2 linked regions of the Macaca mulatta genome follow. The protein of the gene in region 1 interacts with the protein of each later gene in a pairwise test. Links are inferred from orthologs where the notes say so. Each region holds a gene or a part of one and is shown in the gene's direction. Other genes may lie near its edges.

What was found.
Region 2: the proteins of TBL1XR1 (region 1) and ARL2 interact in binary tests that used the Homo sapiens proteins (3 or more experiments, as listed by UniProt). The two-hybrid records come from large-scale screens. The link is inferred for Macaca mulatta from reciprocal best matches to the Homo sapiens genes TBL1XR1 and ARL2.

Annotation. Positions count from the first base shown.
Region 1 is NC_133407.1:89,019,994-89,023,811, reverse strand, and holds part of TBL1XR1 (F-box-like/WD repeat-containing protein TBL1XR1), read left to right. Parts: intron 1-1,841; coding exon 1,842-2,064; intron 2,065-2,945; coding exon 2,946-3,078; intron 3,079-3,422; coding exon 3,423-3,564; intron 3,565-3,818. UniProt on the Homo sapiens protein: F-box-like protein involved in the recruitment of the ubiquitin/19S proteasome complex to nuclear receptor-regulated transcription units. Plays an essential role in transcription activation mediated by nuclear receptors.
Region 2 is NC_133419.1:9,369,306-9,373,223, reverse strand, and holds the start of ARL2 (ADP-ribosylation factor-like protein 2), read left to right. Parts: upstream 1-1,542; 5' UTR 1,543-1,578; coding exon 1,579-1,643; intron 1,644-3,196; exon of another isoform or gene 3,197-3,261; intron 3,262-3,918. UniProt on the Homo sapiens protein: Small GTP-binding protein which cycles between an inactive GDP-bound and an active GTP-bound form, and the rate of cycling is regulated by guanine nucleotide exchange factors (GEF) and GTPase-activating proteins (GAP).

The DNA of each region.
Region 1 (3,818 bases):
AGTTTGTTTGCCTTCATCTGTTTTTATAAGTAAACACTAAGAAATAATTTTTATTAACAGCATTGTGCTGTGGAATGCTAAGATCATAATTATTGGCCTGAAAATTGTAAATTCTCACATTATTTGAATACACCCTAATTTAAACCAGTTTATAGTTGAAGCCAACTCTGGATGGTACTGCCGATCTAAGGACTACATGTGAGTAGTTTGTTTGGCTTAGGTGTCAGCATACTGTGGCCCATTAGCCAAATGCTGCTCTCTGTTTTAGTAAATAAAATTTGATTGGAACACAGCCACACTCATTTACATATTGTCTTTGGCTACTTTTGGCAGAATAGTGGTTGCGACAGAGACCTTATGGCCTGCAAAGCCTAAATTAATATTTACTGTCTACTCTTTTACAGGAAAAGGTTGTAAACTATACCCCCGGTCTAGTTTAAAATGTTGTTTTTGGTTTTGGTTTTGTTTTGGGTGTGTGACGGAGTCTTGCTCTGTTGCCCAGGCTGGAGTGCAGTGGTGCAATCTCGGCTCCCTGCAGCCTCCGCCTCTTGGGTTCAAGCTATTCTCCTGCCTCAGCCTCCTGAGCAGCTGGGATTACAGGCACCCATCACCACGCCCAGCTAATTTTTGTATTTCTGTAGAGACGGGGTTTCCCCATGTTGTCCAGGCTGGTCTTGACTCCTGACCTCAGGTAATCTGCCCACCTCGGCCTCCCAAAATGCGGATTACAGACGTGATCCACCATGCCCAGCCTAGTTTAAAATTTTTGTGTATAGTGTGGAGCTTTTCCCATTACTTTTATTTCAGAGATTAACATGTTCCACTTTTGCGAGTATTTTTTAAACTGAAGTATCCATGATTTCTGTATCAATGATTATTACTAGAGTTAGAAATTACATAATATACTAAAATGGATTTTTTTGTTTCCTCAGCTCTTTGAGTGAAAATCCACTAACACAAAACTAAATTTTTTCTTACAACGTGTGTAAATTTGACATAGCGCTTATTCCACAGTGTATCTGTGTTGGGTTTAGTATCTTTATAAAATTATCTGTAAGTTAAAATACTTTCTCCCGTTCCTCAAATACTGTGTTACAATTGCAGTTCAGAAACACTGCAAAAACGTGCAGTGTTTTTGCAGCTCACATTACCCTACCATGACACTGTAGATTGTCACTGGTGCGCGTTTACCAGTTTAAGTGAACGAGACTTCACAAATGCATGCTCCCAGCTAATTTGTACTCTTTGTGTTTCTGACTTGCTCTGTGTTTGTGTCTCTTCTTGTGCTTACTTGGAGAACTCTTTATTAGGAACTTCCTAATATCAATAAGTGGAGCTTTGGAAATTTCAACAACTCCCTAATATTCAAGAGCACTATAGCTCATGAAGTCTATTTCTGCTTTAATATTTGAATCAAATCACAAGAAACTTTTTAACTCAAAGTTTTTAGTTTTTTAAAAGAGGTATTTACTATAATGGGGCACCAGGCCTTTGATCATTCTATGACCTATTCCATATTGTTTGTTGCTTTGACTAACAGAATTTCAGAATCTAATTAATAAACCTTTTTATCAGCTCGGCCTGCATCTTTCAGCTCTATCTGTACAGCTCTATACTGTAATAATAGTGTGAACTAAATAAAAAGGAAAATTTAAGCAGTCATTTCCAGTTGCTGCTTGTAGTTTCTTTATTCCGTCGGGACTTCTTATATGAATTCAGAAAGTTCCTCAAAATGTTTTTCTAGGAATGAAGATTTTCATTTCATTTCTGATTTTGTATAAATACAGATAACTTTAAATATTGCCTTTGATTTTTCTTCTCTCACAATTTTCCAAATCCAGGATGGTACCTTGTTTGATGGTCGACCAATAGAGTCTCTGTCCCTGATAGATGCCGTAATGCCTGATGTAGTACAAACAAGACAACAAGCTTATAGAGATAAGCTTGCACAGCAACAGGCAGCAGCTGCTGCAGCTGCCGCAGCTGCAGCCAGCCAACAAGGATCTGCAAAAAATGGAGAAAACACAGCAAATGGGGAAGAGAATGGAGCACATACTATAGCAAGTGAGCTCAGACAAGAATTTTTTTTTTAATTACGTGGTTTATTTTTTAAACTTTTAATTCGGGGTACATGTGCAGATTTGTTAAATAGAGGAACTCATGTCACAGGGGTTTGTTGTACAGACTATTTCATCACCCAGGTACTAAGCCTAGTGCCCAATAGTTATTTTTTCTGATCCTCCTCTTCCACCCTCCATCCCCCAGGAAGGTCCCAGGAGATAAGAATTTTTAAAAATTTATTCTCAGAGGAAATATATTTGCTTTAACAGAATGTCCCATCTTCTATGCCGAAATAATTCCATCTGTTATTTGCACCAACTTGTTTTCTTAACTTGTATCACACAGATCAGATTTTTATTCCTGAAGCTCCAAAAAGCTAGATTTACTTTTATTTTCTTTTTAAAATATCTAGAAGCCCTTTTCCCATCATTAAATGAATTTTTGTATCTACATTTGATTTCTAAATGAAATTGTAATACTAGTTATCAACAAATACCATAGCGCTCTGACATTGAGATAAAAGGCAAGTCATGTTATATGAATGATATCAGCAACCCCTACTGGCAGAAACTCAGAATAGTACTGGTAGACATTATGTTTAGTTCAAACCATTTTATCGTTTTATCCATGTTTAGGTCTAATCATTTAAAGTCTGCATCCCACCCCCACCCCCATCCCTCTTAAAAAAAAAGTATGGTCAATACTTAATTAAAGGTACCAATTTATTTTCTATGTGACTAAGACTGTGTAGTCATGTTCAGCTTAACTTGATAATGTTAACCCTGTATGTGATAAAGGAAGGTATTTGCTAGTTAAGAATTCACCCATCCGCCATATTGTAATACTGCCTAACTGGAATTGCTTACTTGTTTTTCACGATGCAGATAATCATACTGATATGATGGAAGTGGATGGGGATGTTGAAATCCCTCCTAATAAAGCAGTTGTGTTGCGGGGCCATGAATCTGAAGTTTTCATCTGTGCCTGGAACCCTGTTAGTGATCTCCTAGCATCAGGGTGTGTTTCTCAAAGTGATACTAAAATGGCTTTTACAAATATCTTACTGAGCATTTTATAAACATATGCATTATTCAGGTTTTCTGTTGTTGCTTATTTGTGGCCATTTTGTCTCTGTAAATGTTTTATTCCTTCATGAAGTAATTGTAGAATTTTTAATTAAACTTACTGTTTCGAGAACGCTTGGGGGTCCCAATGTGTAGAATGGGAAAAATACTGGAAATGAAAATCTGTGATAGTTTAGTTTTTATTTGCCTTATTAATATTCAGATGTAAATATGTTGCCTTGATTCTGATAGTTGAGAATGTCATGAGGATTTAAAATACATTGCATACTTTTATAGGTCTGGAGACTCAACAGCAAGAATATGGAATCTTAGTGAGAACAGCACCAGTGGCTCTACACAGTTAGTACTTAGACATTGTATACGAGAAGGAGGGCAAGATGTTCCAAGCAACAAGGATGTCACATCTCTAGATTGGAATGTGAGTATCACTGTATCCATGATGGATATAATTACTAGTATACCTAACCCTCAGAGCCTCAGACTCATGGCACGGTTTGTCTATTTGTTCAGAATTTGGGGTTTTATTAACTAGTAACAACAAACTGGGAGTCGTCACCTGCCAGCCCTCTCCTCCACTGTGGTGTTAAAGACACAAACTTGCCTTAGACCAGGGTACAATGTCCAGCTCTTTAGTGTATCCCGCAGCATCTCCTTGGTTAAATTGTTACTGTT
Region 2 (3,918 bases), on another chromosome or scaffold:
TGGAGGGTAAATGGTGCTGACCCAAGGGTCCCACTCAGGCAGCCTATCTGTTCAGCCCTCCTCTGACCACAAGCCCCTTTCTGCAAGATGGGAAGCTCCAGCTTCTTCCAGACCGCTGTCTAGGCAAACTTCATGGAGGCATGAAGACATTGTGCTTTACCATTGACCAGACCTGAGTTTGAATCTCACCCATGCTCCTTAAACACTTGGGATTCCATTATCATAGCTACGAAAAGAATAGAAACCTCTCAGGGTTGCAGGGAGGATGAAGCTGAACACGTGGAGCGCATTGCAAACAGTTACACAGGAGTTAGCCATTGTCTTCAGCTGGTGCTGACAGCTCTTTCCCAAGCATGAGAGAGGATCTTCTGCGCTGCCTATTCACATTTAGCCTGCAGCCGGCTGGGGCACCAAATTAAGACAATAAGGCTCTCTCCTGAGTTTACAATAGGCTTGATGCTTGACCTATTTCCTCACTTCCTCTGGACTTCTTTTTTTTTTTTTTGAGACGGAGTCTCGCTCTGTCGCCCAGGCTGGAGTGCAGTGTCCAGATCTCAGCTCACTGCAAGCTCCGCCTCCCGGGTTCCCACCATTCTCCTGCCTCAGCCTCCCGAGGAGCTGGGACTACAGGCGCCCACAACCGCGCCCGGCTAATTTTTTGTATTTTTAGTAGAGACGGGGTTTCACCGTGGTCTCGATCTCCTGACCTTGTGATCCGCCCGCCTCGGCCTCCCAAAGTGCTGGGATTACAGGCGTGAGCCACCGCGCCCGGCCTCCTCTGGACTTCTTAAGCGCTAAGGTAAAGAATGAAACTCTTGGACAAAGCCATTCATTCAACAACAACTATTTATCGAGCACCTACTACATGCCAGCCACTGTGCTAAGCACCATCTGGGTTTTTCCATCCGCAAAAGTAGGAATTGTGCTTCTCAACAGGGAAACGCTGGGCCTCTGGGTGGGGGAGCCTTTGGGACCGGACTACAATTCCGTCATTGGAACCCAGGGACGCCCCGCACGTTTCCGAACGGCCTCCAGGGGGCACCGCCGCCCTGAACTGAGAGCCACAGGAGCAGGGTAGGGGGAGGCCCAACTTTCTGCTCTGTCACTGGCAGATTAAGGACGATGCCGAGGGCCCAGAGGAGCAGGATTTGGACCGTGTTGCTGGGAACAGGGGCCTACACTGGCCCCAAGATAAGTTCGTCCGTACCTGGAGACCCTGGGTTCTGACTCTGAGGTCAGACGCAGCCAAGATGCAACTCAGGAACTTCAAGGTTTCCGCTCCGGCCCAGAGCCCCGGTCTGGCGGGGGAAAGGATAGGGGTGTCGCCCTTGCTCCCCCAGCCTCAGCCTTCGGGAGGCGCAGCCTCAGGGCGGGCGGCAGCACAAAAGGCTCCTGCGCCGCTAGGGGCACTCTCGCAGCAGCTGCGCGGGCGACCTCGCGATCACGTGCGGCGGGGGCGGGACCAAACGAGCGTCCAGCCAATTGGCTATGCCGTCGGCGAGCGTGATAGCCAATAGGAACCGGGAGCGGGGTCCCGGGACTGGGAAGAAACGGCGGCCGGGAGGGGCTCCGGGGACCATGGGGCTCCTGACCATTCTGAAGAAGATGAAGCAGAAAGAGCGGGAGCTGCGACTGCTCATGCTGTATCCTCCAGACGCCGGAGCCGCGGGGGTAGCGGGGCCCCGCCGGGCGGGCGGTGCCGGGCGCCCCCTGTCGGGAGCGGAACGCGGCGGCCGGCGCGTCCCAACTGCCCCTGGCGTCACCACGCCGGCCCCACCAATCGCCCAGGGGGCCGGGAGGCGCAGCACCCCTGGCCTGGGGCTGGGGCCAGCTCCGAGGGCCGCAGAAGCGGGCCTGCAGGCGCAGCGGCGGGTGGCCTGAGTGTCAGGGGCGGTGGGTCCCGGAGATGACTCGGACGCCACCACCGGCGGCCTGGCGCAAGCGTGGGGCCGCTGCCTTCCCGGCTCTCATCTCCCCCGGGCCCAAGGGTTCCAGGCCCCGGCCCCGCCCTCCAGCTGCGAATCTTGGGGGCGTGCGGGGTGGCGGGTGGCGGATGTGGACTCTGCGGATCCTTTCGAGCGTGGATCCAACAGTCTGTCTCTTTGGTGCTACGCGGCCCTTGGATGACCCTGTGGCTGAGGATGTGTGTATGTGAGCCCGAGTGCCCCGTGCGCGCTGTGCGCCTTCTGAGTCCATTTAGGCGCCCACACCCGTTCCCTCTGCTCTGTGCCAGGCCCCGCGGGGGAATGGCAGGGGAGATAAGATGCTTACGTGCACATATAACTTAATAATCAAATCTCACATTTTTGAGATAGGGTCTTGCTCTGTTGCCCTGGCTGGAGTGCAGTGGCGCAGTCAAGGCTTACTGCAGCCTCCAATTTCTAGGCTCAAGTGATCCTCCCACCTCAGCCTCCCAAAACTCTGGGATTATAGGCATGAGCCACGGAGTCCGGCCCATGTCTGTTTTATTTTATTTTATTTTATTTGAGACGGAGGTTCGCTCTTGTTGCCCAGGCAGGAGTGCAGTGGCGCAATCTCAGCTCACTGCAATCTCCGCCTCCCGGGTTCAAGCGATTCCCCTGCCTCAGCCTCCCAAATAGCTGGGATTACAGGTGCCCACCACCACGCCCGGCTCATTTTAAAGAATATTTTTAGTAGAGACGGGATTTCACCTTGTTGGTCAGGCTGGTCTCGAATTCCTGACCTCAAGTGATCTACCTGCCTTGGCCTCCCAAAGTGTTGGGATTCCAGGCATGAGCCACCGCGCCCGGCCCCATGTCTGTTTTAAAGAGCTCTGAGAAAAGCATACAGTTCACTCATTTGATAAATATTGAGTGCCTAATATGTGCTAGGCACTGTCCTAGGGGCCAGGGTACTAAAACAAAAAAAAAATGTTACCTTCATGGAAATTCTGTAATGCAGGGGGGTAGAAAAATAATAACACAGGAAATAAGTAAAATATGTAATAGAGGCTGGGTGCTCAGTGGCACACACCTGTAACCCTAGCACTTTGGGAGGCTGAGGTGGGAGGCTCGCTTGAGCCCAGGAGTTTGAGACCAGCCTGAGCAACATAGACCCCGTCTCTATCTATACATATATATATTCTCCATACATATTATATATGTATATGGGCCATGCTTTGGACCATGCTTCTGGGGAACACGGCCTTCTACTGCTCCAGGATGAGCTCCCACTACATATCTATATATGGAGAATAATGCAATTTAGGGTGGTCAAAGAAGGCCAGTGTATGATGGCAGGGCATGGTGGCTCACACCTGTAATCCCAGCACTTTGAAAGACCAAGGCAGATGGATCACCTGAGGTCAGGAGTTTGAGACCAGCCTGGCCAACATGGTGAAATCCCGTCTCTACTGAAAATACAAAAATTAGCTGGGTGTGGTGGTGGACACCTTTAATCCCAGCTACCCAGGAGGCTGAGGCAAGATAATTGCTAGAACCCAGGAGGCAGAGATTACAGTGAGCCATTACACTCCAGCCTGGGTGACGAGAGAAACTCTGTCTCAAAAAAAAGTGACAGTTGAGTACATGAGGGAGGTGAGGGTTGAACCTTATAGCAGTCTGGGGGGAAACTTTAAAGCAAAGGGAACAGCAAGTCAGAGGCCCTGGGAGGACTAACTGGCATGTTCAGAGGACTGGCGAGGAGCGCAGTGTGTCTGGAGTGGGGAGGACTGTTGACTGGGAACCACCTCACCTAGGGCCTTTTGGTTTTTGGTTTTCCCTTTCAGTGAGAAGTGCAGAGGATAGAAGGAATCAGAGACCAGTTTGGCCACTGCAGTGATGCAGGCAAGATAGAATGGTGACTTGGACCATGATGGAAGTAGTGAGGTCATGGAAGTTTCTGGCCTGAGCAATTAGAAGGGTGAGGAGCCATTTGCTGAGGTGGAGAGGACTGGGG